Linked DNA regions of Notamacropus eugenii. The protein of the gene in region 1 interacts with the protein of each later gene in a pairwise test. Links are inferred from orthologs where the notes say so. Each region holds a gene or a part of one and is shown in the gene's direction. Other genes may lie near its edges.

Region 1 (3,919 bases):
TTATCAGGGTTGCAACTACCTTTGCTTTAAAATCTTTGGGGATGGTGTGGAAATGGCCCATATTATTTTCAAGATGTGACTGATATGCAAATTAATCAGTGAAAACATTACTGAAGAGGTGATTTTTGGCAAGGATAATTATTTACCCAGCCAACAAAGGAATTGATTTATAGGGCGGCGTGTCCCAGACCCAGAAGATGTAGAACCACCTAGGGGTGAACTAGTAAATGTTTAACAACTTGGCTGGGGAGGGAGAAGTAGAATGTAAGGCACACAAATTTTTCAATTTAATCTGCATTATTAACCATTTCTTAAGTCTAGATAATCAACTAAATAGCAAATCAAAATTGTAAAGATTGCTCATTTCTGAAGTGTAAATGCTCACACTGAAAATATAACCATTTTTCACATGCCAGCTTGAGCTGACTCCAGAACACCCCCAACTATCACCCTTTGGACAATATCTTCCAAAATGTTGGAGTGATGGTCGGGGTGATACTTAGAATGAATGCTTTCAGACTCTCTGAAAGAAGAGTTGTACTTTGAACCTGGCTGTAGGACATCAAGAAAATCCAGCTTTGACTCAATCAAGAAATGAAATAAGTGGAATCCTTGTTTAAGAAGCATTGAATGTTATATCTGGAAGAGATTGCCTAGCTTTGTGATCTTAGGCAAATCATTTCATCTCTCTGGGTCTCAGTTTCCTCCTTTGTAAAATGAGGTTAAATGAGATTTTTTTTTAAACATTTAAACATGTCCTTTCTTAAAATTATTTACTCCATCCCTCTCATTTTGGCCAGGTAAAAGGCCATTTTAATTATCTTATTAAAATTAAAAAATTATTTTGTTAAATATTTCTCAATTACATCTAAATTTTTAATATTCACTTTTTAAAAATTTCATGTTTTAAATTCTCTCCCTCCCACCTCTTTGAGAAGGAGGATTTCAGTTAGATATGTGAAGTCATGCAAAATATTCCATACTATGCACATTGCAAAAGAAAACACACAAAAAACCCCAAAGAAAAATAAAATGCAAAAAAGATAAAGTGCTTGAATTCTTTCATAGCTTTACTTTCACAACAAATTCCTCATGAGGAAACTGAGGCACATAGAGGAAAAATTTAAAGTAGCAGTTGCCGAGGAAGTTTCTCTTCATGGGTAGGCAGTCCATGTGTTAAGTGTGAGTGAAGAGGAGGTCTACACTTCACAGGAGTGAAGACACCTGCTGAAGTGTCTTCAGGTCTTGGAGGAAGAAAATACATAGAATACTGTAATTAGTCAGGATGGACCTGAGTTTAAATGTAGCCTCTTGTTTGATAACTTGGGCAACTTATTGTATCTTACTTTCTCCTTCTGTAAAATGGGGCACGCACTTCTCTGGGTTGTTGTAAGGATACAATTACGTACTAAAGCTAGTCTTTACAGATATTATTTTATTCTCATAACAGCTCGGGGAGGTAGGGACTCGCATTATCCCTATTTCAAATTTATATCAATGCCAGCTACCACCTCCACCAGCACTCTCCTCCCCCTCCCCCTCCTCCACCCCCCCTCCCCCTCCTCCCCCCTCCTCCCCCCCCTCCCCTCCTCCACCCCCCTCCCCTCCTCCTCCCCCCCCTCCTCATCACCATCAGCGAGGATCTATCCTTAAGGTCTCACAATGGTGCCTTGATTCCCTAGTGCTCACAGAGAAGGACGAATGGGAAGGAGAGTTTCTGACAGAACCCGGACCTGAAGGACCAGTTTCCTGCGGGGAAGCCTTTGGCGGAGACACCCGCGAGCGCAGCTGGATGTGCTCGGCGGTCCTGAGGGAGGCGCGCAGTCCGGTTTCCATGGAAACGCGGCCTGGTCCCTAAGCCCGTCTGAACCCAGGATCGGTCGCGGAACCCAGACATTGCTCCCAGTGAGTAGCTCAGGATTTGCGAGAAAAGGGGGGGACGCCGGCCTCCTGGTCTCCTTGAGCTGAGGGGCGCACGAAGCCCCCCGGGTGGGAGCGGGGGTCTGGGCTGAGGCGGGGCGCGGGTTGCGAAGGTTCTTGGAACGGGCTGGGGGTGGGGGGCGGCCCAGGTGGGTTGGAAAACTCTAGAGGGAAATTGTGGGGTAGAGGACGGGGACGTTGGGGGGCAGAGACCCAGGGAAAAGCCCCTTCCCCGCCAGCCATGGCCAGCGCTTGTTATTGCCAAGCCTTCAAACGCCGCCTCCGTGGGTGGTGGTGCTAGGCGACCGCCCGAGGGTTCTGACCCGCCGTGCCCTACCTTAGGGGGTCTGCTGAAGCACGGATTGACCCCTTCTCAGCATGAAGTTTTTAAATTCATAGAGTAAAGTGCGTGTTACAAAAGAAACCAATCATATTGAAATATAGGTAAAGTAAAATGCCTAGGGTTACAAAGGAAACATATTGGAATACACTTGTTCATAATTCTTACATAAAATAAGATAGATAGGATTACAGAGGAAATCTGTCCATGAAATACAGTTATCTATTATTTTAATGTAAAATAAAATAGGACTACAAAGGAAATCTGTCCATGAAATACAGTTATCTATTATTTTTATGTAAAATAAAACAGGATTACAAAGGAAATCTATCAATGAAATACAGTTATCTATTATTTTTATGTAAAATAAAACAGGATTACAAAGGAAATCTGTCCATGAAATACAGTTATCTATTATTTTTATGTAAAATAAAATACAGATCACAAAGGAAACAAATTGTATTGAAACAGGTATATAATTTTTATGTAAAATAAAGTAAATAGGACTGAAATTTATCTATATAATTTTATGTAAAATAAAATGAATTACAAAGGAAATCTATCACAATGAAATAGTTATCTATAATTTTATATAAAATAAAATGTACAGTATTACAAAGAAAATTATATTGAAATAGTCATCTACCTAATTTTATGTAAAATAAAATACATAGATTTCAAAAGGAGCCCTATCATTGACATCGTTATTTATATATAATTTTATGTAAAATAAAATATGTAAGATTACAAAGGAAACCAATCATTGAAATATAATTATCTATGTATAATTTTCTATAAAATTAATAAATCAATCAATAAATATATACTGTGTGCCAGGCACTGTGCTATGGGCTGAGGATAAAATACATAGGATTGCACAGGAAACTAGTGATATTGAAATAGTTCCTTGTCTACCTGCTTACCTAATTTAGCCCCAAGTCTAAAAGTTTAAAGCCTCTTTGGAGACCAGCAATCAGTCAACAAGCATTTCAGTAATGCATTTAAATGCTTATTGACTGCATTTCATAGAAGATGGAGGTAGAAAATCTAGTCCATCTCCTTGCTTTGGCAGATGAGGAAACTAAGGTCAGAGGTGAATGGAATAACTTTGGCCAAGATATTGTAGCAAGTAGAATACTTAAAATTTCTATATAAGACAAATTAAACACATTATTTTTTTTATCCATTTTAAATTTTATTTTTAACTTAACCAGAAAACTGAGCATTTTTGTATACACAACAGAACAGAAAAAGATGATTTTATATAAAACTGTGAATCTTTCATGTTGCTTACTTTAAAGAAAACCTACATATACACACTATGATAAATTCCAAATGTCACTTTCAAAATTGTCTACCTTTCTCCCACTTCATTATCAACTGAGAAAAAGGTGGGGGAGACAAAGACCTTTGTAACAAACATAGTCAAGCAAAACAAATTTTGCTTGTCAGGCAGAGAATAATATAATGGAGACATGACTTATCTTTGTTAAATCTTTCAAAGTTGTTTTTCTTCACGGTATTGTCATTGTATGTATTGTACTCTTGGTTCTCTTCACTGAATTCACTTTGCATTAATTTATACCACCCAGAATTCTCAGAAATCATCACTTTCATAATTCTTACGGCATAATGTTATGTGTTTAGCCATATCTCAGT
Region 2 (3,919 bases), about 310 Mb from region 1:
AAGCATCATGGGCAGCCTTAAGAAAAAGGTAGTGACCTCCCCATCACTGGAAGTCTCTGAGCAAAATTTGTATGCCTCAAGGAATGCGGTGCTGGACTGGGTGCCTCTGAGAATCGTTTGGAAACTTGCAAATAGGATTTTCAAGGGCAAACGGGAGGAATCCAGGCCGGTGCATACCAAGCCATTTCCCCTCATGTGGGGTGGGAGCCTCCAATTTCCCAGACAGAACCTTGGACTCCCAGAGCTAGTTGTGGGGAGAGCATCTCCTCTGACCCCATCAAACCTTTTGTACACTCAAACTTGCTCATCCTCCTCTTGGGCCCCTTTGAAGTCCCCCCCACCCCCAGCTCCATAGAGAGTTACCAGCCAGGCAGAGACCAGGACTCACACCTCTAGCTGCTGTAACCATGGGGGGGACAGCTCAGAGAGCAGGGACAGACCAGACAGACCAGGGTCCCAGGCTAGGCAGAAGTATAACCCAAACAAAAAGATCCCTATTTCAGGGAGAGGGTGTGGGAGCTAGAGGGGACCTTAAGTGATCATCTTGTCTGATTCCCTTATTATACAGGTGGGGAAACTGAGATCCAGAGAGAGGAAGGCCCTGACCCTAGACTGCAAGGGTTCTTTAGCCACCACTTAGACACAGGACGGTGCCATGGGAAACCCTGGGAGTCAGAGGAGCTGGGCTCAAATACTGGCTCCTCCGCTTACTGCTCATGACCTCCTCTGAGTCTGAGTTTCCTCCTTTGGCTGTCAATCTCCTGAGCTGAGGGTGTGCCTACTATGTAAGACCCCATTCAAGGAGATAGAGAGCAGGTTCCGGTCAGATGCTGCCCTCACAAAAGTTACAGTACAGGCTACTACAAATGGCCAGACACACAGCAAGACATTATGACATGATCAGGGAGGACAGTTGCCCCGAGGTGCTTTCAGGGGCCAGAGTGCTCTCAGAAGCCAGGGTCTCACAGGCCAGGTAACCATGCCTCCCCAGAGGCCTGTTGGTCTCCATAGTGATGATCCAGGACCAGGCTTGTAGAAGTTCTGAAATAGGGGGATGGGGCAGAAGAATACTTTGCTAAGAACCCATCAACAGTCAATTCTGGCTGCCTCTGTGGTGAAACCTAACCAGGATGCCCGAGTCCGGGTCCCTTCAGCCTCATCTGAAAAGGGAACAGCCACTGGACTGCTGGGACTCCTTTCTGGGGTGCCTTTGGCCCACCAAGTATGTGGCTTCTAACTGCCAAGACCCTAGAGCTTGGAGACAGGATGCCTGGTCCACGGAGGCGCAGGGGGAGGAGTGGCAGAGGGTCCCCTAAGGGTTAAGGGCTCTTTAAGGCAGGGAGGATCTGTGACAGTCTCTTCTTCTGAGAAAATCCAGGGATCTCTAGGTCCTGTGGCTTCCCATGTGTATGATGAGGTAATTCACATGGGCAGAATGAGTCAGAAGGCCCAGGATGTCATTGTCTCCCAGACCTAAGATTCTGCTTGACTGTAAGAAGGCTCTTCCCCTTTCTGGACATCAGCCGCTGACGGGACTCGTCTCTCCTCGCCTGTGGGATGCAGGGCACATGCTGTTCTGGTCTGTGCTGGGCAGGGATGCTGGCTATTCACTGGGGCTCCGTCATTCCCCCCTCTAGAGTGCTTTTGGGAGTGGAGATGGGGTGCTGATCCAAGGCCGACCTCGGGCCCGGAGTGCTGGGAATACCAGAAAGAAAGACGCATCTAACAAAGGCAAGAAGAGGAATGAGCCCTCTGAGGCTGAAGAGTGAGTAACTGGGGGTGCAGGGAGGTGACCCGGGGCTCTGGGAGGCTGACATTCTGACTGGCGCTTCTCTCCCCATCCCCAGCCTCATCCCACCACCTCCTCGGAAGCCCTCCTTCCCGTTCCAGTGGGCCTGGGAGAGCTTCTTGGTGGATGGCCGGAGCCTGCCCCTGCCTTCCTCCAATTCTTCCCACCAGACCCAACAACCTCAGGGGGCCCCCCAGAAGGCCCAGAGGGCCAAGACCTCAGCCTTGCCCCCTGCCAGGGCTCCCCAGAAATCCCGGTTGAAGGCCATGCCCCCATCTGCCCAGCCGGCCAACTTCCCACTCTACTGGAAGATGGAGGCCCGAAGTCAGGACATGAAGAGGCAGTTGAAAACCTGGCTTCACTCTGAGCTGGACAGCCAAGAGAGCCAGGACAGCCAGGATTATCAGGATGGCCAGGAGCTGGAAGGGCAAGAACAGGATGGCAGGGAGGAGGAGTGGCCTGAGGGCAGGAGGGAACTCACCACCTGGCCCTCTTTTCTGTCTTCCAAGGAAAGGTTGGGGTTCCAAGCAAAATGGGCCCAAAGGCTAAGGATGGTGGGGGGAGCCCAGGGTGAGGGGAGGTAACTACAGCTGGGTGGGGGCAGCAGAGGGAGAGGAGAGAGTGGACAGGGCCTTCAAGAAGTTCATCTGTTCCCTGCCTGTGCCCAGGAGCAGAGAAGATGAGAGAGGCCAGCTGAGGAAGTGGAAAGCCCTCCATCTGGCTGGTTTCGCCCTCCTCAGAGGATTCCAGAGGAAGTCGGCAAAGTCCAAGGACCCAGAGAAGCTCTTAGATATGGAAATTCTGCAGAAACACTTACAGGAAGATGAACTCTACAGTAAGTCATGCCCCCTGCCAATGACTCCCAAGCCCTCTCTGGCCTTCAGCTCACTTGTCAAAGGAGGAGTTTGGGGTTCTTCTGTTTGTACTGTGTCAGTGGATAGAATGAGCAGCCCATTAGCCAGAATAAACATTAAAATCAGAATTTGCCAGGCAGCACCCCCCACTTCACTTTATACTAGGGGGTCCCTCCCCAGCCTGGCCTTCCCACTCCCAGAAGTAGCCTCCTGGTTTCCCACAGTCTCTGGCCAGTGTCCTGAGTTAGAGGCTCTCCTCTTCACCACTTATTGGGATTGGTCTCAAAAAGTTGAACTGAGAACCTTTCGTGCTGCTTGCTTTGAGAGCTATGACTTCGAGTTATGGCCCTGACACCCAGGATCTCTGACTCCAAACCCAGGGATATCCCCTACCAGGCTGCACCACCTGCTTAAGAAAGCAGAGATATATGGGCAACATTGTGGGATTATGTCCATTCCAAAGGTTATTGTGCTTAAGAGGCCAGCCTCAGTTACCTGCATACCTCCCTTACTTAGAACCTCCTGGCCCCTCTGCACTGGGGTAAGGCATTGGGGGAGGATGGGGAGTGAGGAGGGGTTCCTGACTTCTCTTCCTCTGTTGTCAGACTCCCAGTGGCCAATTCAGGATACCACCCATCCTCAAGGCGAGAAGGTACAGGCCTGGGAGGATGTCAAGCCCTTCCTGACAACTGGTGGCACCACCAGAACCTTCCAGATGCGACGAGAGGCCACCAGGTACCTGTCCCCCACCCCCATCCCCTACCCTGGGCTGGGGGTGCCTTCCCCTAGATCATTCCTTCACTGGCTGTCTAGACTTTTCACTGGTTGGTCCATCAACAGGTTCAGGTTATACACAGAGGTATAATACGCCCACAGTGGCGGTTCCTACATCACTGAATCACAGACTCACTTTCTACCACCTGTCATCTATAATACATAGGTACACATGCATACACACACACACACACACACACACACACATGCAGAGTGAAAAGACAATAGTGTAGACAGAGATGGAAGAGACCTTCTACCCTCTCATCTCATAATTAAGGAAATTGAACCCTAGAGACCTAGAGTAACTTGTCCAAGGTCACCTAGCCAGGTCCTAAACCCTAAAAATCCCAAGCCCTTCTGGGGCGGAGGTTGGGCCCATTAGCAGTCCCTTGATGGACATCCAAAAGCTGCACCAGGGTCATGATGCTGTGGCTAGAGGCCTCAGAATTCTGAAGGAATTCACTTGGTGGGCTCTGCAACCAAAGCAAAGCTCACATGATGA

What was found.
Region 2: the proteins of CCDC57 (region 1) and TSGA10IP interact in binary tests that used the Homo sapiens proteins (3 or more experiments, as listed by UniProt). The two-hybrid records come from large-scale screens. The link is inferred for Notamacropus eugenii from reciprocal best matches to the Homo sapiens genes CCDC57 and TSGA10IP.

The regions. Positions count from the first base shown.
Region 1 is NC_092873.1:326,921,409-326,925,327, reverse strand, and holds the start of CCDC57 (coiled-coil domain-containing protein 57), read left to right. Parts: upstream 1-1,763; 5' UTR 1,764-1,905; intron 1,906-3,919. UniProt on the Homo sapiens protein: Pleiotropic regulator of centriole duplication, mitosis, and ciliogenesis. Critical interface between centrosome and microtubule-mediated cellular processes. Centriole duplication protein required for recruitment of CEP63, CEP152, and PLK4 to the centrosome.
Region 2 is NC_092873.1:18,640,396-18,644,314, forward strand, and holds the start of TSGA10IP (testis-specific protein 10-interacting protein), read left to right. Parts: upstream 1-1,039; 5' UTR 1,040-1,054; coding exon 1,055-1,222; intron 1,223-1,637; coding exon 1,638-1,765; intron 1,766-1,847; coding exon 1,848-2,303; intron 2,304-2,457; coding exon 2,458-2,624; intron 2,625-3,248; coding exon 3,249-3,378; intron 3,379-3,919.